Arabidopsis thaliana: one gene and its partners. Each later gene encodes a partner of the first gene's protein in a complex. Each region holds a gene or a part of one and is shown in the gene's direction. Other genes may lie near its edges.

Region 1 (5,245 bases):
GACACCAAGCGCAACAACGAAAGTCGATTCCCTGAATCCAAATTGTGTTCCTCCCTCTGTAATTCGAAACCCCCAAATCAAATCTCACCCAAAAGTAATTAAGAGACTCTGATTTGAAAACAAAAACAAGTAACGAGGTAGGTGTAAAGACTTTACTGGGAGAAAGAGAGAGGGAGAGGGAAAAAGAAAGAGAGAGAAAGAGAGAGGGGGAGAGAGAGAAAGAGGGAGGGAAGATAGAAGGGAAGAGAGAGGTAGACGGAAAGAGAAATGGAGAAAAATAGATAAAGGGGTAAACTTGGAATTAATATACAAAATATAGAGGATATCAGTTCTTTTTCCTTTTGATGTTAGTTTCTTAATTATAAACTTTTTGTTGGTTAGTTTTGCCAATTCCCTTACTTACAACTGATAACCGTATAGCTCTTTTATCAGAAAAAACTTTATATATCTAATCTCCCAAAATATACAAATGTGAGAAATATCTGAAAATAAATCAATTCTCACCAATTATATATATTTGATTACTTAAAAATGTTAATATATGGCAGTTGCTTGTTCAGAGAATAACTTAAAAAATTGATCACGAGATCGGCTTATGTTTAATATTTTTGAACTCTTGGGATAAAAGTTTTGAAGATATATATATCGTAGAAAAGTTTTGTGTTCTTTAATTAGTTACAAAATTTTGAGTTTTTTTTTTTTCTTTCATAAAGTATCAGAATATCAGGGTGATTTATTGAATAGTTTATTTTTTCTCGTTCTACTCACGTTATTCTTGCAAGTATTAATTTTGGTTTGTTTATAAAAAAAGTATTTGGAAATTTTATGTGAGCAAGTGCGAAATAAACGAGGATTTTGGGAAGTATTTTTTTTTTTGTAAAATCGGTTATATTGAACGTTATACTATATATATTATTATATAAATATAACTGCTAAAGACTAAATTTAGATACTAAAATCAGCATTGATGAAGATCCACATGAATAAGACTCGTCTCTTAACTCAACATTTAACATATGATTTTCATATTATTGATCATTTATCTTTGTGTTGGTCCAAGGTGCCAGACTTTATTATTTACATTAAATGTTGAGTTGTTTACTGACATATTTTTTAATTAAAACAACTTTCATATTATTGCCCATTTATATTTTGGTTGGTCCTCCAAAGACTTACAGGATACATATGTTTCTCCATTTTCATTTTTATGATCTAAAACGTCTTTTTCTAACTTAGATTCTAAATGGTTACAGCAAACCGGACATACAATTTTGCTTGTCAAATGGATCGTTGAGATAGACAACAATCCAATGTAAAACCAAAACTCTTGATTTATAATTGGTCTGCAATGATTTTTTTTTGGTTCATATACCATTTTATAAGATAGCAAACCATTTTCATCATAAAAGATATATTTTTTTATCATTGAATACCAATCAAACCCGGTATAATAAATAAAATTGTACCAAATTAATGCGGTTAGGTAAATTCAATTTATTGGAAATTAAAGAAGAGAAAAAAAAAATAACGAACAAAATTTCCTTGACACAAAAAAAAAAAAAGAAGAAAGAAAAAACCCTTACTCTCAATTAGTCAATCCCCTTCCCTAGTCCTCCTCTCTTCAAGCTTTTCACAGAAAACCACCACCCTTCTCTCTCTACTGCCTTTTTACCACAGAGAAGAGAGAGGATCCGTCGGTGTGCTAGTCTCACTGACACTACATCCGATCGTCGCCGGTAAGTTGATTTCGTTACTCTCCGATCAATTTCTTTTCCGGAGGAGGAACTTGTTTTCCGTGCGAAATTCTGACTTGAACTTTGTTGTCAATTCATCAAACGCTTTATCTTTTCTCCATCTTCAATTATCTTACTGCTTCGTCGCTGATCTCTACTTGTTTTCCTCCGTTTTGCATTTTCAGTGGCGTTTCTTAGTGTTTCACTAGATTTAGACTGGTTTTGCTTGTGTGCATTTTGTCATCAGTGTTTATGATTGTTCGCTTTAGCTCTATGTTTCTATGGATTTGATAATATATGAGTTCGCTGCTCTGGATTCAGCTGGCTTGTTTGATTGTTCATTTTCATAATTCTGTCCAAAGAATCAAATCCACAGTAGCTCGGATCTGAGATTGATTTGTTTCTTTGCGTCTTTGTGTAGATTTGACTTTAATTTTGAGATTGTTGTGTGCTGATATACAGCTTAATTAATATAGCCTCTGATGTGTTATTATCGATGTGTCATTATCAATCTACAGGTGACATTTTATAAGTGTGGAGTTTACTTCAGCTTTATTATTCAGGAATTGATGGATCAGGTTGGTGTAAATAGTTGTTTCAGTTCTTACTCTTTTGACGAGAGTCTCTGTTAATGTGCTCTTATTAATGCAGTACGAGAAAGTTGAGAAGATTGGTGAAGGAACTTACGGTGTGGTTTATAAGGCACGTGACAAAGTGACTAATGAGACAATTGCTTTGAAGAAGATCAGGCTAGAGCAGGAGGATGAAGGTGTTCCTAGCACAGCAATCAGAGAAATCTCCCTCTTGAAAGAAATGCAGCACAGCAACATTGTCAAGTATGATGTTAATACCATTGTTGAAAACTGATTCAGCATGATGACTCTGGTAAACAATTTTGATTGATGTTTTTTGCTACACAGATTGCAGGATGTGGTGCACAGCGAGAAACGTTTGTATCTGGTTTTTGAGTATCTTGACTTGGATCTCAAAAAGCACATGGATTCTACTCCTGATTTCTCCAAGGATCTACATATGATCAAAGTGAGTGCTAAGAAACTTTAGGCATTGTTTTATATATGTGCTTAAACTCAATACTCAATATAAGCTGATCAGAGCTGTTCATCCACTATTTTCAGACATATCTTTACCAGATTCTCCGTGGAATTGCGTATTGCCACTCTCATAGGGTTCTCCATCGTGATCTGAAGCCACAGAATTTGTTGATTGATCGCCGCACAAACTCACTGAAGCTTGCTGATTTTGGACTGGCCAGAGCATTCGGTATCCCTGTCAGGACATTTACTCATGAGGTACCAAAGAGCTTTATTCCTTGTTCATATGTTCCCGTTATGAAATCTTTTGGCTGGCTGCATTCCTTATGAGTGTAATGTAAATTAAGTATTATACCACTTATGTGTCTGATAAATGTGATGAAAAGGACTAAGCCATTTCACATAGACGGTTGAAGTAAGCTAGTTCAAGATACTGTAAAATATTTCAATGCTACATCCAGATTTCAGATCTCTTCCTGGTTATTCACACAATTTTTGCATATTGTTCCTTTAGGTTGTTACTCTCTGGTACCGAGCACCAGAGATACTCCTAGGATCTCATCATTACTCTACACCTGTTGATATTTGGTCTGTGGGGTGCATATTTGCTGAGATGATCAGCCAAAAGCCCTTATTTCCTGGAGACTCCGAGATTGATCAACTCTTCAAGATTTTCAGGTTTAATTGCTAACTTCCCCAGTCCAATATTCCTCTATATATTACAAGTGCAAAGACTTGTCTGCAATGATATCACAAGGGATTGTGGAAACATTTTCAACTTGATATCACATTTTGGAGAAGTAGTAAAGGACACAGAAATTGAATTGTTAACTGATTATAAATCTGTTACTGCCTTGTTTTGTTGTCTTCTTCTAGAATCATGGGAACTCCGTACGAGGATACATGGCGTGGGGTAACTTCTCTACCGGATTATAAATCTGCTTTCCCTAAATGGAAACCAACGGTACTTCAAATGTCTTTATTCGCTTGTACATCTTGTCTTCAGTAGTCAAGAGTTCACAACATATATTAATTCTTGCCCTTGTTTTTTTTTCTTATACCACAGGACCTAGAAACTTTTGTCCCCAATCTAGATCCCGATGGAGTCGATCTCCTTTCTGTAAGTTCACTGAGCTAGATATATACACACACATATATAGACACACTACTTCTGCTATTAGAGACCTGTATGCTTGATTGTGATGGATCTGGTCTCATGTTTCTTACTAAAAACCTTTTAACCATTTGAGGTTTTAGATGTCTTATAAAGTCATCAAGAGCCGGCGTACTAAAACCAATTCGATTAGGCTTCATAGTTTCAAAACCACATGAAGCCAAAACCAAACTTGTTTGAAATATGAACAATCTTCAAAAACCAGGATTCTTGAAATTCCTAACCAAACCAGACATCTGGATAGAAATCTAAGATTTTGAGCTCCTGTGAAAGCAAAGATGATAATATATCTCTCTGCTTGATTTGTTTCAGAAAATGCTGTTAATGGATCCGACCAAAAGAATCAACGCAAGAGCCGCCCTGGAGCATGAATACTTCAAGGATCTTGGAGGCATGCCTTAGAAAGGCATAAAACCAGTAATCTCCTTCATTCTATATATAATTATCAATCCTAAGAAAATGAAGAACAATATTAATGGGTTTTGTTTATTCTTTTTCTGAGTTCGTTTCCTACTTATATTCTATTACGAAAAAAAAGAAAGAAGAAGATTTCGAGTGTGTTTTTTTTTACTTCTAAGCTTTTGAGATCAGTTTCTTGTATCTTATTTTACCCAGAATATAGTATTTCCCTATATGAAATATGGTTTTTGTTTTGCAAAATGACCATATTATGCAACTTCTCAGCTTCTTGATTGTGCCTTGATAGTGATCTTTTGAAATATATCCCAAAAAACATCACTTTTTTCGATTTCATTAGTACTTATTTACGAGTTACGACGTCATTTGATAACTAGTATATATGGTCCGTCGATCTTAATTTCCTATTTATAAAGGGTGCACCGTTTTTAATGAGACAAGAGGGTCCAAGTAGCCAATCATTAATGAGACCAAAGTTGACCAGAAAAAGCTGACAAATAAATTGACGAGAAGAACAATTCAACACGTATTCGATAGTTTGGATTACATTTTACAGTTGGTCGAAATTCGAAGTAGATCAAATGTCAATAATCTAATTCGAAACTAAATGAAGGTACCTGATAACCATTTCAGTGTTAGTTAGCAGTGGTTTCAATCTATTCACTAAGCAAAGACGCTTCCATTCTGAAAATCAAGTCCAATGGGAGGCATAAACTTAAGTGTCTGAAAAACTCAAAAAAGCATAGCCTCGTGTAAAATAGACCGATCTATTTATTCATGAATATATGTATGATTATCAAAGTGCATTTATACTTTTTACGTTTTAAAATTTCGTATATAAACTTTCCTTAGTGAATATTATAACATAA
Region 2 (5,444 bases), about 15 Mb from region 1:
ATCTTCTCTTGGATTCCTTTTGATTTATCACCTAGGAGATCAAATCACATACAAAATTATGTTGTTTTGTAGGAGCAAGCTGCTAAGGAAGCAGCTCTGAAGGCGGCTAGTGAAGCTTTAAAAGCTAGCAACTCTAATTGCCCAGAAGATGCAAGAAAGGCTTTCGAAGCTGCCAAAGCTGATGCGGCAAAATCTAGAAAGGTGACTCAGTTTGAACTTTGAAATTATGTTCCTGATCAAGCATCTGACTTTTGGAGAATAACATGATACCCATTGATGACATATGGTTTCTCAATCAATTTCTGATTCTTTTTTCTCTCTCTTCATATAGGAAAAGCAACAAAAAAAAGCTGAGGAAGCAAAGAACGCGGCTCCTCCAGCCACAGCAGTGGAGGCGGTACGCCGAACGCTTGATAAAAAGGTTAGAATGTCAGCTTCTTTGATACCTTGATACTTGAAAACGAATATGCAAAAAAAGATAAACCGAGTATGCCATGTATCATCTGTTAAAAACCTGGCCTGGAAGTACATAGTCAACAACATGGCTGTCGAAATTATTAGCATTGAAGAAACTTTAGAGTCTGTGTTTCTTCCTTTTTCCTGATTTTGAGTGTTGACTCTTACAGAGACTTAGTTCGGTGATCAACTACGATGTTTTGGAGTCGCTATTTGATACATCCGTAAGTTTTTGATTACCTCTTCTTGTATCCTCAATTCTCATCACTTTTTGAGGTCTTTACAATTTTGCTTCTCTTTTCTTCTTTCAGGCACCTGAGAAATCACCCAAGAGGTCGAAAACAGAGACAGACATTGAGAAGAAGAAGGAAGAGAACAAGGAAATGAAGAGTAATGAACATGAGAATGGTGAAAATGAAGATGAAGATGAAGAGGATGAAGAAGAAGGCAATGTAGAATCATACGACATGAAGACAGATTTTCAAAACGGCGAGAAATTCTATGAAGAGGACGAGGAAGAAGAAGAGGATGGTAATGATTTTGGATTGTATTGATGATATGTATTGTGAAACACAAGAGTTTTAATTTCTTTTGTTTTGCCGGATTAGTTGATTTTATTTGCATTAATATAGGAGAACCCCAACTAAATTTATTCTTTATTATCAGTAACAAATATTTAAGATTTAAAAGAAAAAAAAGTTCACACAAATGATCTATTTATTTTTACAATTCAAGTGGTACTGACTAAGAAATGAAAAACCACTAACTTAATTAATTTAATAAAATCTATATGTATTTAATTTTGATAATTTTATTTTCCTTGTTTATGATAATTCTAATTTCTATCAGATAACAACTAACAATCACTGAACTTATCTCACCTATTTGATGAGCTAAATGTATTTTAAATTTATTTTTCTATAAAGATATAACTGAAACAAAAGTGATGACTTTTTATGAAAATTCCCAAAATCAAATACCAGAAAATTCAATTTTAAACAAAATGTGTCGGTCCGGATGATCTTACATCTAGCTTGGTTTTACAGGATAGTATTTAAGAAGAATCATAAAGTTCATCTCAAACCAAATCCGACGGTCCAGAGTCACCTGCAAAGCTTGGCATCGTATACGTGTTCAGTGGTCAACGGATCAGCTACGAGTGCCGTTTGAGGTTCAAACTTCTGTTTCTGAGGTTAACTCTCTACCGTTAACGTCCGTTAGTGTACCTTCTAACCTTGACGACTTTTCCACTTTCCAAAAGATAACGACGGCGTTAAATTGGTCTATTTTACTGAACCAGCTTTAACCAGAATTAGATTGCATTACATTCAACTCGTGCTTATGGATAAATATCAGTTCGGTTTGGAGAAAATAGGTTACTTAAGGTAAAAAGAACGGCAAGTAACGGTGTGACGTCAGCAGAAGAAGTATTCGTTATAATAGTGAGAGAGAGAGAGATAAAACTTAGGGAACCCTTTTTTATGTTTTATTTTCTCGCTTTGTTTCGATCAAGTCTTCTCTTTCTCTCTCTATCCCTCTCTCTCTGGTTCAACGGGCAAAGTATTTTTCGAATAAAGTTTTGGTTTTTTTTTTAACGTTCCTTTCGCCTTCTTTCTTCTTCTTCTGCTGGTGAATTCGTGTATCTATCTATCTCGATGAGCTCCACTTTTAATCCAGCCGCTTCTTCTCCAGATGAGGTTAGTTTTTGTGTATCGAATCTGAATTTTTAAGGGTTTTGTTCTTGTGATCAGATTCTAGTGAAATTGAGTTCTTTGTTGTTTGGCTCTGATTCGAAACGAATTTAACTTTATTGAAACTATAAATTTTTGTGATTACAATTGTTATAAACCCTAATTTTGCTGTGGTTGGTGTTAATGTTGAGCTGTTTACTGAATTCGTGATTTGTGAGATCTGGGTTCTGTCTGCTTTGTGTTTTACGATGATTGCTTTTTTAGGGTTTCTCTGTTTCTTATCAAAGTCTGGATCTTTTTTTTCTTTCATTGAGATGATGGATCTTCAGGAAGAAACAGGTGAAGTGAAAATTGAGGATCAGTGTGTAGAAAATAAGCAATCAACACCTGCTTCGTGCTCTTCTGTATCTGAAGGCAGTGCTGGTAGTTCCCACAAGTCACCTACAATTGCAAGTCCTGCCACAGTATCACCTACTCATAGGTACCTCGGGTTAGTTCGTCTCCTTCTTCTTCTTCCTTGTTTTGTATCTCCTCCGCAGCACTCGTTTGCGAATTTGCATCTTTTCTACAAGAGATTGATGTTGATAGTGTTTGGTATGCAGGAGGACGAGTGGCCCTATAAGGCGAGCCAAAGGTGGGTGGACTCCGGAAGAGGTTAGTATTGAGTATTGACTAGTGATTGCTTTTGACCAATATCAATTTTGGATCAGTAGTTCGAAATTCAAGATGTGAGTTGTTTTACTTAATGCAGGATGAGACATTGAGACAAGCAGTTGACACGTTTAAAGGCAAGAGCTGGAAGAACATAGGTAAGTCTCTTCTTCTTTTTAGATTCTAGTTCTCATATTAACAAGAGTAATGTCAGTGCTACAACATACTCCATAGATTTGTGGTTCGAATATTAAAGTTGGAGCCTACTTGCTTACAGTAACTATTAGTTCCATACTCTTGTCTCTGTAGTTTTATGAGTTACTCTTGTATGTTAACTTGATCATCTGAGGCTGAGCATCTAGTAGAAAGACTTTCTTTTACGTTTGTTTCCGTTTTGTTCCGTGAAGCATTTAGTATTGTTTGAATTGGTGTATTCATTTTTGCAGCGAAATCTTTCCCTGATAGAACTGAAGTTCAATGCCTGCATCGGTGGCAGAAAGTTCTAAATCCAGACCTTATTAAGGGACCTTGGACACATGAGGTTGATTCTGTTTCTGATTTTATTTATTATTTGGCTTCATTTTTTATGTGAAATACGAAGGCTTAAAGTTTGTTGTTTTGCAGGAGGATGAGAAAATCGTTGAACTGGTTGAAAAATACGGGCCTGCGAAATGGTCTATTATCGCACAGTCTTTACCAGGTCGAATTGGGAAGCAATGCCGAGAGAGGTAGTTAATTCATATGAGCCAAGCATTTTTCTTATAGTTATATTGGAAGCTTTAATGTGTTTTGATATGTATGCAGGTGGCATAACCATTTGAATCCTGATATTAACAAGGATGCTTGGACCACAGAGGAAGAAGTAGCTCTCATGAATGCTCATCGAAGCCACGGAAACAAATGGGCTGAAATTGCTAAGGTCTTACCCGGCAGGTATTTTTACTTTTCTTGGCATGCGTCATTGGAGTTGAGACTTTAGAGAAGGGTTAGCTTCTGGGTTTAATGAAGGTTTTACTTAAAACTTGCTGCAGGACTGATAATGCAATAAAGAACCATTGGAATAGTTCATTGAAAAAGAAGTCAGAATTCTACTTATTGACTGGTAGGTTACCACCACCAACAACAACAAGGAATGGTGTTCCTGATAGTGTAACCAAACGTTCATCGTCTGCTCAGAAAAGGGTTTTTGGTTCAGTTGCTCAAACCTCATCAGTAACTACAGATGTAAACAATCTCGCTGAAGACGGAAATGGCCAAATAAACTCATCTGTTCCTGTCGAAGAAGTAGTAGCTGCTTCACGAATGACTAGTCTTAATGAGTATGCTCGTTCTCCTCAGTTGCCTAACCCAGAGCCATTGCCAGAGAATGGTGGAGCTGCAAATAATGGTTATCATCTGTACTACACGCCTCAAATAGACTATTACAGGGCGTCAGAAGTGGATACGCAGCGTATGTATGGGAATGAATGTGGTTGCAGTCCAAGCGCATCACCAGTTAGCTTCTTCACTCCACCGCCGTGTAGGAATGTGCACAGTAACGGTTCGACTCCAAGAAGTCCTGAATCTTACCTGAGAGAAGCTGGTAGAACTTACCCAAACACACCATCCATATTCAGGAAAAGACGACCCAGGGTTGTTGTTCAGGATAACAACAACGCCAAGAAAACAGATGAAGCTAAAGAGGTTGATCAAAAGGTGAATGATGGTAAGGATAGTTCAGAGATTCAAAATAATGGATCAAATGCTTACAATCTATCTCCTCCATATCGGATAAGATCGAAAAGGACAGCAGTTTTCAAATCAAGACAGCTTGAGTTTATATCTAGAGAGGAAGAGAAAGCTGATGATGAAACCAAATCATCTGAGAAAGATATGTTGATTGATGGAGATTCTCAACTCCTAGGCTAAACAGTGACTAGATGATTACACGCTGAATGTTGTTTCATTGGTTATATTTTTATTTTTGGGTTAATGTTAGAGATGTTAGATGTATTTAGTCCAAAGAATAATTTACACCTCATAGTTGAGCTAGGTTTTTTTTTTCCATAACAAAAAAAAGATCTTCAGTAGTGGGCCATAGAAATTGGTGCATGTTCTTGATTATTTGATTGATATGCGTCTTTGATTATTTGAACATTGAATCATTCGTTCACCGATGTGAACAATATCACTCTGCTTTGAATTTTTTTCTAAATAGACTTTATGATGTCATTATTCAAACGGGTAGGTAATTTACAAATCATAAGATAGTTTCACATTGACAAAAGTGTTTTAGATCAAATCAGCTATATTCTTTGGCAACTCGTCAATCTGAGTACTGTAGTACTGCTCAATGTCCCGGAGAATCTTGATCTCGTCGATTTTAACAAAGTTGATTGCAACACCCTTACGTCCGAAACGACCAGACCGTCCAATACGATGAATGTAGAGCTCACGGTTGTTAGGGAGATCATAATTGATGACAAGAGAAACTTGATCCACATCAATCCCACGTGCAAACATATCTGTTGTGATCAAAACGCGACTTTCACCTGTCCGAAACTGATTCATGATCTCGTCTCTCTCCTTCTGAGGCATGTCCCCATGCATTGATGAGACAGTGAAGTTGCTGCTCCTCATTTTCTCACTAATATAGTCCACTTTTCG
Region 3 (5,604 bases), on another chromosome or scaffold:
GACAACTATTTAAAACAAAAATTTGTTTAACAAACTAAAATACAATTGCAATCCTGTAAAATATTTATTTTAATTATTTATTTAAATTAGCGGTGTACGTCTTTTTTTTTTATAGGACAGGTTTGGCGAGACGGGTTTGGAAGAACGTTACTTAATAAGAATTATAAAATATAAAATAAAAATATTTTATAGATAGATATAATTTTCAAACTTTTATATATACTAATTTTAAAAAAAAAAATCTTCATGGTGTACTACGGGTTAAAATCTAATAGTTGTAGAAAACTCTTAAGCCTAAGGAAGTTAATTACCTAAATGGTAGGAGTTATAATAAAAATAACTTCTTACCAAAAAAACAACGTTAGATAACTTGTAAGATCACTTTTAGAGGCTATAAATTCCTCCTCACCTTTTCTTTTGTATAAAAGTAGAAAAAAGGAACCAAAGTAAACAAATAAAAATGCTATCGACTATTGTAAATTCTTTTTTAGTGTTTCCATATTTTTTTCATTTTTTATTTACTGTTTTTTTCTTACTGCACCATGACAAGTGAAGTAGATTTCGCGTTAGTGCACTTGAAATTTAGGACAACAAAAATGCAACTAGACAAACTTTTTCTGTATGAATATCTAGACGAACTTACATTTATATGGATAATCTTGTTTTGTTTGTTTGTCACAGTTAAACTAAAATATAATATAATTTTTCTGATCCATGGCTACAATAAATTTTAAAAATGTGGATAATATGTCTTCACAAATATTTTTCTAAATAAAATACTCTTTCTTTTTTTTGGCTAAAAAGTTGTCACATGCCATAGGGACGAAAATGTGTGTTTTACATTGTTTGGTACACCAATGTTTCAGTCTCTCAGATCTAAACTAATGGAAATTACGTTGATTTAAGCCATCATGATATCATGAAGGGATTTTTTCTCGTCATATTTGTCCAGTTTTACGAAAACAAGTTAAGGTATCAAACTTATGCGATACGAAAACTCTTTGAAATAACTCAATTATATTTACATTCCTTTAATATGTTTTGTTTATTCAAAATCATGATTAATTAATTCAGTATTTTGAATTCCTATTTTTGTTACATGATGCAATTGGTAATAATACAATGAAAAAAAAAACAGTCCCTTGTGTAGCGCTATACACCAAGTTTGTGTGTTTGTCGTCAATGCACCCATCGCTTCCTTATAACCTAATATAGGTTTTGATTGGTAACCACTTTACAAAACGGTACTAAGCGTTACAAAGTTTTACTCTTAGTTTATTGTACAGCTTAATACCTGTAGTAGAGTTAACAACTTTTGGTTACCAATCAGACCCATAAACATATATTAAGATAGACAAAAAAACATATATACATATATAGTACGACTTCATAAAAGATGGTATAATTTTCACATAATTTGATATTAATTAGATATCACTTACTCAAGTACTCAACTATGCAGAAGCACTCTTCATTCTTCAATTGTTTTTATGAAAATATTAAAGAAAAAAAGCTAGAAAAATGATACCAGAGAAACAAAATGAATCATGGGTTTAGAAATTCATTCTAATTTCTACCTTTTGGCAAAGACCATGAACTCTAAACTACTTTTTGGTATGATAACTGGACCAAATTTGGGCCGTTCATAGAGTTTATTGGTGCAGATGGACCTCGGAGATTAGGACTCCCCTGTAAACTCAATCTAGCAATGCCGAGACTCCGTATTTATAGATTCGTGAACCATGAATGTCGATCATTAACATAAAGCTACAAAGTATGAAGCTCTAGAAGATATGTAAACGTCGTAACATTATTAAGCCCAATTCAAGCCCAAGACCAAGCCCAAGACCAAGCCCAACAAATAGTCAAAAGAGTAAAATAATAAGCGGAAGAAGTTAGGCGGGGCTTAGGCAGAATTCGAAACTCTCTCCAACTTCTTTCGCCCACCGCTCTTTTAACATAATTCCAATATTTCTTTCTTATATTAATCTTTTTAATACAACAAAAAGACACTTTTACCCTTCCTCTTCTTCCCGCTGTTTCCTCTCTTCTCTCTCCATCTTTTTCTCCATCTTCCCTCTTCTCCTTCTTCATCTTCCCCCACAAAAACCTAAATCACGATTCTCCAAAATCGCTTCAAAAAATCACTCTAAATCCCATCTTCTCTACCACCGGAGATACACCGCCGTTACATGGCCGCGACATCAAACTCAGGCGAAGATCCGACTCTCTCTTACCATCACCGATCTCCTTTTCGCTTCGAATTACTTCAATCTATCTCTTCCTCTGATCCTCGTTACTCTTCTCTAACTCCTTCTTCAACGAATCGACCTTTCTCAGTCTCTCAATCGCTTCCGAATTCACAACTGTCTCCTCTAATTTCACCTCACTGGGACGATTCTTACTCTCAAATCACTCAGAAAGTTGTGAGTCTCTTCGTTTACTCAAGTCCTCGTAGATTCCTTCTTTGATTTTGATTCCATTTCCGAACTTGATTTTGCGATAGCTAGGTTTAATTCTGATTCCCAAATTTCGCGAAAACAAAAATTGAATGAAGTTTGGTTTCATTAAGGGAAACTTAATCCAAAATTGGATCTCTAGCTTTCAATTCTCTAATCTCAATTTGCGAATTTAGATTCGTTTTGGTGATTGTAATGCTATTGAGTTGATCTTTTCTTAATTTGCAGCAGAAGAGTAGAAAGAATCATCGAATTCAGCTTGGATCTATTGCCAACATGTCTGGAGGAGAAAGCATAGATATAGCTAAAGTAATAGTGAAACAAGAGTCGTCTCCTCAAAATGTTAAACGTGTATACAACAAGTCAAAGGGTGGTACTAAACTGTTAAAGGCTGGGAAACGAATGGCGAATGGCGGTATCTGCTTTTTCTGATCAATCTCTTTGGCTAGCTCTTAGAATGTGATATGTATTGAAAATAAGAATCTGTTTGTATTCAGCATTGTTGTGAATGAGTTTTTTTGTGCAGAAGTGCAAAATGGTGGCTTAAATGGAGCTAGTATTAACTGCCGTTATGACAGTTCTTTAGGTAACTAATAGTTCTGTTTACTAAGGTTCATGTTTGTATGGAGATAACAACTGTAATTGTATCGGTGTCTCTTTTGTTTGATAGGGTTGTTGACAAAAAAATTCGTGAAGTTGATCCAGGAAGCTGAGGATGGAACACTTGACCTTAACTATTGTGCAGTTGTTTTGGAGGTATGCTAAATGTATCTTAATATTTAAGTTAAAAATGTATGTCTCAACTCGTAGAAGATCTAATTAAGAACGTGGACTAAAAAGATCACTCACCTTTATAACCCTTGCCTTAACTGTTTGATATCTCCCTAGTTATCTTCATCAGCTTGTTAGGATCTCCTCTTATGTGCTTACGTGTTCCTGCGATCCCTCTTAACAGGTACAAAAAAGAAGGATATATGATATTACAAATGTCCTTGAAGGAATTGGATTGATAGAGAAAACTACAAAGAATCATATCCGCTGGAAGTAAGTACACAAATTTTTTCTTTCTTGGATACATTGCAGCGTATATAGCTTGAGTTCGTCTGACTTTGTGTATGCGCTATTGATGCAGGGGTGCTGACAATCTTGGACAAAAGGACCTGGGAGATCAAATTTCTAGGCTTAAGGTTCATTGTGACAAGCATTTTCACGTGTTTTCTTTGTCGTAGAACTTACTGCTATGCAAATAATCTGTCAAATTCATGATTTCATTATTTTTCTGTCTTATAGTTTATTTCACACAGTTATTTTCAAATTCCCCATTACTGACCGGTTACATATCTACGTATTTTCAGTCAGAAGTAGAGAGTATGCAATCTGAGGAAAGCAGGTTGGATGATCTTATAAGGTTGGTTGCTTGTGTTCTTATATTATGTTTGGAGACTTATCCATTGTTCCTTTCCCACATGGTTTGAAGATCATCATGTTATGTATCTCCAGGGAACGACAAGAAGCTCTCAGATCCTTGGAGGAAGATGACTACTGTAGAAGGTATTCGTCAGTTTATTTGAGTTTCATCTTTTTGTATATACACGAGAGTGTTGCTAAGATCAATGATGGAAATAAACAGGTACATGTTTATGACGGAGGAAGATATAACGAGTCTCCCACGGTTTCAGGTCCTCCCCAACTAGTTCTTGAAAATCATCTTATGTTTTCCTCAGTTATTTAACATACTAAACTGGTAGTCCTTATACAGAACCAGACATTACTAGCAATTAAAGCTCCTACAGCTAGTTACATCGAAGTTCCAGATCCTGATGAGGTGAGCGTTTTTAATGCTTTCATATTTGCTGTACAGTTGTAATATAATGTGTCACAAAGTAAAGCATCTGTTTTTGTTCACGATAGATGAGTTTTCCGCAACAGTACCGGATGGTGATTAGGAGTAGAATGGGGCCGATTGATGTCTATCTTTTAAGGTACTTAGTTACACATTCCACTCTCTGTGTCTGGTCTTATCTATATATTTGTCAGTCAGTGTTAATAACTGGGAACAAACATGATCGCAGCAAATACAAAGGAGACAGTGCGGAAACAAGCGACAAGTTGGGTAATGAGTCTGATCAAAAAGCTCCAGTTGGAGTAGACACTCCTTCCTTGAAAATAGTAACTTCAGATACTGATGTAAGTATTTAGATCCACTGATATGGGTTTTGGGATCAGTCTCGCATTTCGTATGTTGCGATTAAGTTGAATTTTTGGTTGTGTATTGCCAGTTAAAAGCAGATTACTGGTTCGAGTCAGATGCAGAGGTGAGCCTCACAGATTTATGGAGCAACTTCAACAGCTGAGAAACAAAGTTGTTTGAAACCTCAAATTCCCAATTACTAGGATGAGGATGAATTTTCTGTTACATTTTACTACCCCTTTTGAGCCTGAAATCCTAATAGATTTTTTTCCTTATAAAAATAAAAGATGCAATATTTTAAGGTCATTCAAGGGATGTGGCAATTATGTGAAAAAACTTGTACTCTAATTAGATATATAATTATACTTAATGGCCTTTTGCATGTCAATGCATACATCTGTTTTTGTAACATGTGTTTATAATGAACTTTGAAATTAATCTTTTTGACACTTTGGGTCCATAGGTTACAATTTGCATGTTCAAACAGAAACAAAGCATCATTTACGAACCACCTGATTTGGACAATATCAAACGTTACTTCTGTCAGAATCATGTCAAAAAACGAATGGTTCCAAATTGAAAACTAGTTAATCTCTCATCTTGTTACATTTAGTTTCAAAGCTCGAAGTCTTGAACGCTAGTAGAGAAAAATATCTTGTGGAAAAGAAGTATCAACTTTACAAAGCTTGATGTCATTCATGAGTTAGATCATATCATGTTTGATGTCATTCATGAGTTAATCATGACCACATTGGACATTGATATCTTGGTGGATCCCTAAATATGGTGCTTGTTTGGATCCCAAGCAATACTTTTCGTTAAATGGCATAACTCTTGCCTAGAAGTAACTGCCTAAAACAGTAAAACGTACCCTAAAAAAAAAGGAATGCCTTTCAGAGGATAATTTTCCTAATATACATTGTTGGATATAATTCTGCTATATAAACTCACCCA
Region 4 (7,727 bases), about 14 Mb from region 1:
GATCTACAAGAGGTAGACTAAATTATCTTCTAAATGACAATGAAAATGTATGAAAATCACCATGTGGGCTTGTCCGCATGCAGCAATAACAATGTCAGCTTCCCGTATGATAGCCTCAGGATCCTTGGTGTGAGAATGTACAGTTGTGACAGTAGCATCAGCCTTGAGCAAAAGAAGTGAAACGGGCAAACCAACAATGTTACTCCGACCTACAACAACTGCTCGTTGCCCCTTTATCTTTACGCCGCTTCTAGCTAGGAGTTCCAAACATCCCTGCACACACAGAAAATCACCTCATAGTTGATACAGAAGAAAAACAGAACACTGAGATTTCTCGCTTGAAAGAGACTGAAGTCTATATGCAAAAAAAGGAGAAGTACCTTTGGGGTGCAAGGAAGGAAGAGGGGTTCTCTGCCTTTCATGGCTAGCTTACCAATATTCAAAGGATGGAAGCCATCGACATCTTTATCAATGCTGATTGCACCCAATATATGCTCCTCATTAATATGTTTCGGCAATGGGAGTTGAACTAATATGCCTGCAAATCAAACACCAAAGCTTATATAAGCACAGGAGAGCAAGGAATGTTTGCTTTATACCAAAACGAAAGACTTGCATAGACATTAAAGTTTCTATCTATCCTTAATAGTTTAGACTAATGATAACCGAGAAGACATACAAAATCAAGTATTATTTACCGCCACAACTAACCATGGACATCCGGATTTGAATTTAGTTCATGAACTTTGCTAATAAGATCAGCTTCAGAAACTTCCTCTGGTAGGCCCACGTCAAATGACTTAATCCCAACCTCAGCGCACGCTTTCCTCTTCGTATTCACATAGGTCTGTGAATCCTTTCGGCTCCCAACAATAACTACAGCTAGTCCTGGGACCTGCATGAAGGTAAAATCAGATTCGATTGAATCTCGTACATTCTTGAAACTATATAAAGGGGTCCAACTGAAGCAACTGAACAAACGCACTAAACCATTTATTACACATACTCTCGTTCCTTCTATTTTATTACAATGATATCAAACATTATAAGCTTAGCACACACTATCTGTATAAATAAGATAGTATGCCACTTGAAGTAATGCAGGCAGCTCAAAAATCCAGCGAAACAAAATAACAGTGATCTAACTAAAATGGAGCTTACATTTGACCCTGTTAAGCATTTTCAATAGAAGGTTGTGATCATAGCTGCTTAAATCTAGTCATTTTAAACCATAAAGCTAAAAGAGAGTAAATTTTCAATAGTGCTATCATCTTATAAAAGAACGGAGAATTATAAGGAGAGACATGTCAAGATTAGGACACTGATTCATAAGATGCGTTTACCTTGCCGTGTTTCTCAGATAGACCGCGAACTTCCTCGGCGATCTCTGATCTGATGGTATGAGCAATCGCCTTGCCGTCGATTATCTTCGCCGTGTGATCAGATGATGACGCCATGAGCCACTAGGAATTTGCCTCGTGTCGGAAATATCTAATTCTCTCTCTGGATCCACTCACACTCGAAGATGACGAAGAAGACTTAATCTGAATCCATCCGCGGATAGGACACTCATACTTCTGCAACCAAACGTTCTACAATGGCAAATATGTAATTTCCCGCGTGACCTAAACTAGAAACGGCATCGTATTAAGGGTGGGCCCAATCATAACTCACACGAGGCTTTGTCGCGGTCACGAAAACCCAGACGGCGTTAATGGCCCACTCCGTTTGTTTCGACCCCGCCGTGACGGCGAATCTTTCCCTCTCAGCGTTTCACGCAACAGTAAGTAAGTTTTGGCGGTAAAATTGGGTCACAGATGGGTACGTGTCGATTTAATAGTGGTTGAAAGCGCGCGAATATAATTGTATACGTATGTGTATGTATTCTCCGTGTTGTTTTTCCCGCGCGAGATATATCCTTTTTTAGGGTTTGCCGCATAATCAGACCCCATTCTAGAGAGAGAAGAGGGAAGTCAGGTGAAGATAGAGAGAGACACTGAGAGGAGGGAAAATTTGTAGGGTTTTCGGAGATCTCTGTGATTCCTCTGAATTTGTCGAATTTTTTGGAGGAGGCGTTAGAAGTCGGGCTTCTTAAAAATCAGATCTTCTGCTCAGGCTTTAATCGGCGACGTCTGGTATTGGGATCTGTGACACAAAAAGGTAAGATCTTTCTCTATTGCCTATCCTTTGATTTGAAATCTTATCCTCTAGGTGGTTTATCTGAAATTTTCTATTGATATTTCGCTATTCGATTGTAAGTTGGTGAGAGAATTCTCCAAAAACAAAAAAGAGAAAAACTTTGAATGAATATTTAAGATAACATCTGGGTAAAATTTTTCCGGAGTGGTGGGTTTTAGATTATGCCCCAATTTCTCTTCTTTTTTTCCCCCAAATTTTGTCTTTCTGCCATGTTTTGGGAAATTGGGAGTTTGTTTTCTCATGTCTGTTAGTGTGTTCTTCCGAATGGGTTGGGCATGGTTCCTATTGAATTTCAGTGTGATTAAATTAACAAATCTCTTTGCTTGAAAAGTCCCTTTTTCTTCGTCTTCAGTTAGCAGTTTAATTGGAAGTAAAATTAGCTTGATTTTGCATGTTTTCAGCTGCGTTGGAGACTATGGAAGAAGTTCAGCCTCCAGTGACCCCGCCCATTGAACCAAATGGGAAAAGAAGCGAAGCCTCTCTCTTGGACATATGCGAGGTTTACTCTTCTCTTTGCTGATCTAGTTGCATTTGTTTAGTTGAAGATACCATTTGAGTTCTCTCGGAAATTTTGAGGACTAGCTCTAATCCCTGTAGTTGATTTCTTATTGCAGAAAGTTCTGTCTCTTGATGGGAGCACTTGCGATGAAGCTTTGAAGTTGTTTACAGAAACCAAACGAATTTTGTCAGCAAGCATGTCTAACATTGGAAGTGGAACGGTGAAATACATTTTTCCTCTAACTTCTCTTTTATCAGTTAACTGTGGTTTCATTATGACTAAATCCTTTTTTCTTCTTCTTATTAGCGGGAAGAAGTAGAGAGGTTCTGGTTTGCGTTTATTCTCTATTCAGTGAAGAGGCTTAGTGTGAGAAAAGAAGCGGATGGTCTGTCAGTGTCTGGTGATAATGAGTTTAATCTATGTCAGATACTGAGGGCTCTGAAGCTAAAGTAAGTAGTGTTCAATTCTTCCTTCCTTGTCATTCTTAAATTCATTTGTAGTGACGATTTTCCTCTTTTCTGTTTATAGTATTGTGGATTTTTTTAAAGAGTTACCTCAGTTTGTGGTCAAGGCTGGATCTGTACTGGGTGAACTTTACGGCGCAGACTGGGAGAACAGACTTCAGGTTTTGACTAACATCTTTTAAATATACTTCTACTTCTATTATATCATTGTTAAATATGCTTCTATTAACTAATTTTTACTTACTAGGCAAAGGAGGTGCAGGCTAACTTTGTGCATCTTAGCCTTCTAAGCAAGTGAGTTTAGCTCCCTTCCTATTTTACATTTATCTTTGTTTTGTGTAAGAATAGTTATTGACATAGATTTCATATTTTGGACCTGCAACTTAGAAGCAAATTTTCTTCCTATGCAATAATCAGAATATGGGCTTGCAATATTCCTTCAATTTTAAATTAATTAAGATTTAGAGTTACAGATTTCTGGTTTTCATGTGATTATATTCTGTGAATTGTTTTAAGGACATGTTAAAGTATGATGTTTTTGGTACCTTTCCTTGGTAACAGATACTACAAACGTGGGTTCCGGGAATTCTTTTTGACATATGATGCAAACGCAGAAAAGAACTCAGCAAACTCTTCTACCTATTTGCTGGATAGTTATCGTTTTGGATGGCTACTCTTTTTGGCACTCCGAAACCATGCGTTTAGTCGATTTAAGGACCTCGTGACATGCTCAAATGGCGTAGTTTCTATATTGGTTAGTGACTACCTGTGGAGCTCTCCCTAATCTTTCATTCATTTTAGTCTTGCTGTACATTATTACTTGAAAGATGCTTCGTTTAATATAACGCAATTGAAGTATAGGCTAACTCCTTTTCATGTTATCAGGCTATTTTGATCATACATGTTCCTTGTCGGTTTAGAAATTTCAGCATCCAAGATTCTTCTCGCTTTGGTGAGTGTTTATCTTTTCTTCTATCCCGATAACCATGGCACCATAGAATGTTTATCATCTATTTTCATTTATGTGATGAATCTCAGTTAAGAAAGGTGACAAAGGTGTAGACTTGGTTGCATCACTTTGCAAGATATATGACGCCTCAGAAGATGAGTTGAGGATAGTAATTGACAAGGCAAATAATTTGGTAGAAACCATACTGAAGAAAAAGCCATCTCCAGCATCTGAGTGCCAAACTGACAAGCTAGATAATATTGACCCAGGTTGGTCTAAAATCATTTTCCTTCTTCAATTAAAGAATCATGTGAGTTCATTGAACAGTTGCCTGATTGTTCTTCGAATCTATATGGTGTTTTACTGCAGATGGCTTGACCTACTTTGAGGATTTACTGGAAGAGACGTCCATCTCAACTAGCTTAATTACACTTGAAAAGGATTACTATGATGGTAAAGGCGAACTTGATGAGAGGGTATTCATCAATGAAGAGGATAGCTTACTTGGATCTGGAAGCTTATCTGCAGGAGCTGTTAATATTACTGGTGTTAAGAGGAAAATTGATGCTTTGAGCTCACCTGCAAGGACATTTATAAGCCCACTTTCTCCTCATAAGTCGCCTGCTGCTAAGACAAATGGTATTAGCGGTGCTACCAAGTTGGCAGCAACACCAGTGAGCACAGCAATGACAACTGCCAAGTGGCTCAGGACTGTCATATCCCCGCTTCTGCCAAAACCTTCTCCTGGGTTGGAACATTTCCTTAAATCATGTGATAGGGATATAACAAATGACGTCACACGAAGAGCACACATAATATTGGAAGCTATTTTCCCAAATAGTTCCCTTGGTGCCCAATGTGGAGGTGGAAGTTTGCAAGCTGTTGACCTGATGGATGACATATGGGCAGAGCAGCGCAGATTAGAAGCTTGTAAGTTATACTACAGAGTTCTTGAGGCAATGTGTAAAGCAGAAGCTCAGATTTTGCATGCAAATAATCTGAACTCTTTATTGACAAATGAGAGGTTCCATAGATGCATGCTTGCTTGCTCAGCTGAATTGGTACTGGCTACCCACAAAACAATTACAATGTTGTTCCCAGCTGTTCTGGAGAGGACTGGGATCACAGCCTTTGATCTCAGCAAGGTAATTGAGAGTTTCATACGACATGAAGATTCTCTGCCTAGAGAGTTGAGACGACATCTGAATTCACTGGAGGAACGGCTTCTAGAGAGTATGGTATGGGAGAAAGGCTCTTCAATGTACAATTCTCTGATTGTTGCCAGGCCATCGCTTGCATTGGAGATAAATCAGCTCGGTTTACTAGCTGAACCAATGCCATCTCTGGATGCAATCGCAGCACTTATTAATTTCTCTGACGGAGCAAATCATGCATCATCTGTACAAAAGCATGAAACTTGTCCAGGTAGTTTTATTTGTTTCTGAATTAAAGCAGTTTTCCAACCTGTTGTTAATGGTATGATTTTCTTACCAAAAATTGTCAAATTTGCTGCCATATAGGACAAAATGGGGGGATTAGATCGCCCAAAAGATTATGTACTGATTACCGCAGCATTCTAGTTGAACGCAATTCCTTTACATCACCAGTAAAGGATCGTCTGTTGGCCTTAGGCAACGTTAAATCCAAGATGCTGCCACCTCCGTTGCAGTCTGCATTTGCCAGGTACATTTTGAGTAACTATGAGTAGAAATGGAGAGTTAGTTTACCTATCTAGTTGTCCCTGTACTTGTTAAGTAACCTCTTCGGATTTATGTCTACAGCCCAACACGGCCCAACCCAGGAGGTGGAGGAGAAACTTGTGCAGAAACTGGAATCAATATTTTCTTCACAAAGGTAGGTCTGTGAGATCTTTGGATCTACTACTAATCGTTTGGTTAGATGATGTACTACAAAACACGGTATTGATTCTTCATTTTCGGCTGGGAATTGTGTTAAATGTGGTGGCTCTTCCCAGATTAATAAATTGGCTGCTGTAAGAATCAATGGAATGGTGGAAAGACTACAACTTTCACAGCAAATAAGGGAGAGTGTGTATTGTTTCTTCCAACATGTACTTGCTCAGCGGACTTCTCTTTTATTCAGTCGACACATTGACCAGATCATTCTCTGTTGCTTCTACGGAGTGGCCAAGGTGAGTAGTGTGATTCAAAGGGTTTAACTATATGTCATCTGGTTTACAATGGCTTCTCTTACACTTACACTTTTTCCATGAATCACCTTGTAGATATCCCAAATGAGCCTGACTTTCAGGGAAATCATATACAACTACCGGAAGCAACCACAGTGTAAACCATTAGTTTTCCGCAGCGTTTATGTGGATGCGTTACAATGTCGCCGTCAAGGGGTATATATACACTCTTAACCTTATGCTGAAAAGTTTCTTTACTCGGTGGAGAAGACTAAATTTGTGACAATGACTTGAACAGAGAATAGGGCCAGATCATGTTGACATCATCACATTCTACAATGAAATATTTATTCCTGCCGTAAAGCCGCTGCTGGTGGAGCTAGGTCCTGTAAGAAACGACCGGGCTGTGGAAGCCAATAATAAGCCTGAAGGTAGTTAAGAAAGGCCAGATACTTGTTAGATGTAAGCTTTGTCTATCAATTTAGTCCCTAAGTTAAATGATCGTCTTATTTTGGATTCACAGGTCAATGTCCCGGATCGCCAAAGGTGTCTGTGTTTCCAAGTGTTCCAGACATGTCCCCTAAAAAAGTATCTGCAGTGCACAATGTTTATGTTTCTCCTCTTCGGGGATCAAAGGTAAAGAAGATCATAGTGCTTAACTCTTTATCATGATATGACTAAGTCTTGAGGAGGAGGTAGGTGACAAGATTGTTTGGTTACCTTCCATGTGTTGTGTGTTTGCAGATGGATGCTCTTATTTCACACAGTACAAAGAGTTACTATGCTTGTGTTGGAGAGAGTACACATGCTTACCAGAGCCCTTCAAAGGACCTATCTGCCATCAACAACCGCTTGAACAAGTAAGTAGAAAAATCACGTCTCTCATCAGCTTCTTCCATAAAACCAATCACTGACCCAATCCAATTTCATCTGGTGTCACAGCAGCAGCAGCAACCGCAAGAGGACGCTAAACTTTGACGCAGAAGCAGGGATGGTCAGCGATTCCATGGTAGCAAATAGCCTTAACCTCCAAAACCAAAATCAAAACCAAAATGGAAGCGATGCATCGTCCTCAGGTGGTGCCGCACCCCTTAAAACCGAGCCAACAGATTCATAGATATCTCTCTCTACTTGCTACACCAACTTCTCTTCAGTTATAGCATCTGTAAATCCTTATGTTGCAGAGTTTGCTTTTATGTTTAGCTTTCTAGTTTATAGTGATCACCTCAGGCTATGAGCGGATGGATCCCTTTATTGTTTCTTTTTTCTTTTTTTATCTTAGTTAAGTCAGTCTTAATAAGCATTAATAAATGTCTTTTTCTTGTTCACTCTTTCTAACTGTGTTCGGTGTCCCATCTACTAAATTTATTTTCCACTTTAAAAAAAAACAATTTGTGACATTTACTTAACTTGGAACATATACAGTACAGTTAAGCAATTAACTATAACCAACAAATTGTCTGAACA

The links.
Region 2: CDC2 (region 1) and MYB3R-3 share a complex: the UniProt entries of both Arabidopsis thaliana proteins name them as parts of the DREAM-like complex.
Region 3: CDC2 (region 1) and ATE2F2 share a complex: the UniProt entries of both Arabidopsis thaliana proteins name them as parts of the DREAM-like complex.
Region 4: CDC2 (region 1) and RBR1 share a complex: the UniProt entries of both Arabidopsis thaliana proteins name them as parts of the DREAM-like complex.

The regions. Positions count from the first base shown.
Region 1 is NC_003074.8:18,069,936-18,075,180, forward strand, and holds CDC2 (cell division control 2), read left to right. Parts: upstream 1-1,518; 5' UTR 1,519-1,736; intron 1,737-2,251; 5' UTR 2,252-2,302; coding exon 2,303-2,311; intron 2,312-2,384; coding exon 2,385-2,569; intron 2,570-2,653; coding exon 2,654-2,774; intron 2,775-2,869; coding exon 2,870-3,043; intron 3,044-3,299; coding exon 3,300-3,463; intron 3,464-3,661; coding exon 3,662-3,749; intron 3,750-3,851; coding exon 3,852-3,905; intron 3,906-4,271; coding exon 4,272-4,361; 3' UTR 4,362-4,706; downstream 4,707-5,245. UniProt on the Arabidopsis thaliana protein: Involved in the control of the cell cycle. Essential for both G1/S and G2/M (mitosis) phase transitions. Functions in cell morphogenesis as well as cell proliferation.
Region 2 is NC_003074.8:2,877,423-2,882,866, forward strand, and holds MYB3R-3 (myb domain protein 3r-3), read left to right. Parts: upstream 1-1,930; 5' UTR 1,931-2,111; coding exon of another isoform or gene 2,112-2,153; 5' UTR 2,154-2,395; coding exon 2,396-2,637; intron 2,638-2,749; coding exon 2,750-2,801; intron 2,802-2,898; coding exon 2,899-2,956; intron 2,957-3,244; coding exon 3,245-3,339; intron 3,340-3,422; coding exon 3,423-3,526; intron 3,527-3,602; coding exon 3,603-3,731; intron 3,732-3,829; coding exon 3,830-4,706; 3' UTR 4,707-4,933; downstream 4,934-5,444. Other genes in the region: AT3G09360 (Cyclin/Brf1-like TBP-binding protein), read left to right, coding at 73-201, 332-421, 627-680, 768-1,010. UniProt on the Arabidopsis thaliana protein: Transcription factor that binds 5'-AACGG-3' motifs in gene promoters. Transcription repressor that regulates organ growth.
Region 3 is NC_003070.9:17,632,745-17,638,348, forward strand, and holds ATE2F2 (winged-helix DNA-binding transcription factor family protein), read left to right. Parts: upstream 1-1,952; 5' UTR 1,953-2,192; coding exon 2,193-2,426; intron 2,427-2,687; coding exon 2,688-2,874; intron 2,875-2,985; coding exon 2,986-3,045; intron 3,046-3,129; coding exon 3,130-3,215; intron 3,216-3,414; coding exon 3,415-3,503; intron 3,504-3,591; coding exon 3,592-3,646; intron 3,647-3,814; coding exon 3,815-3,867; intron 3,868-3,959; coding exon 3,960-4,010; intron 4,011-4,089; coding exon 4,090-4,138; intron 4,139-4,218; coding exon 4,219-4,284; intron 4,285-4,370; coding exon 4,371-4,441; intron 4,442-4,531; coding exon 4,532-4,646; intron 4,647-4,738; coding exon 4,739-4,813; 3' UTR 4,814-5,065; downstream 5,066-5,604. UniProt on the Arabidopsis thaliana protein: Involved in transcriptional repression. May act by repressing E2F-regulated genes in mature differentiated cells, but is not an antagonist of E2FA.
Region 4 is NC_003074.8:3,913,321-3,921,047, reverse strand, and holds RBR1 (retinoblastoma-related 1), read left to right. Parts: upstream 1-1,688; 5' UTR 1,689-2,160; intron 2,161-2,600; 5' UTR 2,601-2,614; coding exon 2,615-2,698; intron 2,699-2,813; coding exon 2,814-2,918; intron 2,919-3,004; coding exon 3,005-3,147; intron 3,148-3,226; coding exon 3,227-3,323; intron 3,324-3,409; coding exon 3,410-3,456; intron 3,457-3,723; coding exon 3,724-3,916; intron 3,917-4,047; coding exon 4,048-4,114; intron 4,115-4,200; coding exon 4,201-4,380; intron 4,381-4,480; coding exon 4,481-5,536; intron 5,537-5,631; coding exon 5,632-5,794; intron 5,795-5,892; coding exon 5,893-5,965; intron 5,966-6,086; coding exon 6,087-6,263; intron 6,264-6,356; coding exon 6,357-6,476; intron 6,477-6,558; coding exon 6,559-6,691; intron 6,692-6,783; coding exon 6,784-6,896; intron 6,897-7,004; coding exon 7,005-7,120; intron 7,121-7,202; coding exon 7,203-7,377; 3' UTR 7,378-7,699; downstream 7,700-7,727. Other genes in the region: AT3G12290 (Amino acid dehydrogenase family protein), read right to left, coding at 61-273, 381-538, 712-895, 1,344-1,457. UniProt on the Arabidopsis thaliana protein: Key regulator of entry into cell division. Acts as a transcription repressor of E2F target genes, whose activity is required for progress from the G1 to the S phase of the cell cycle.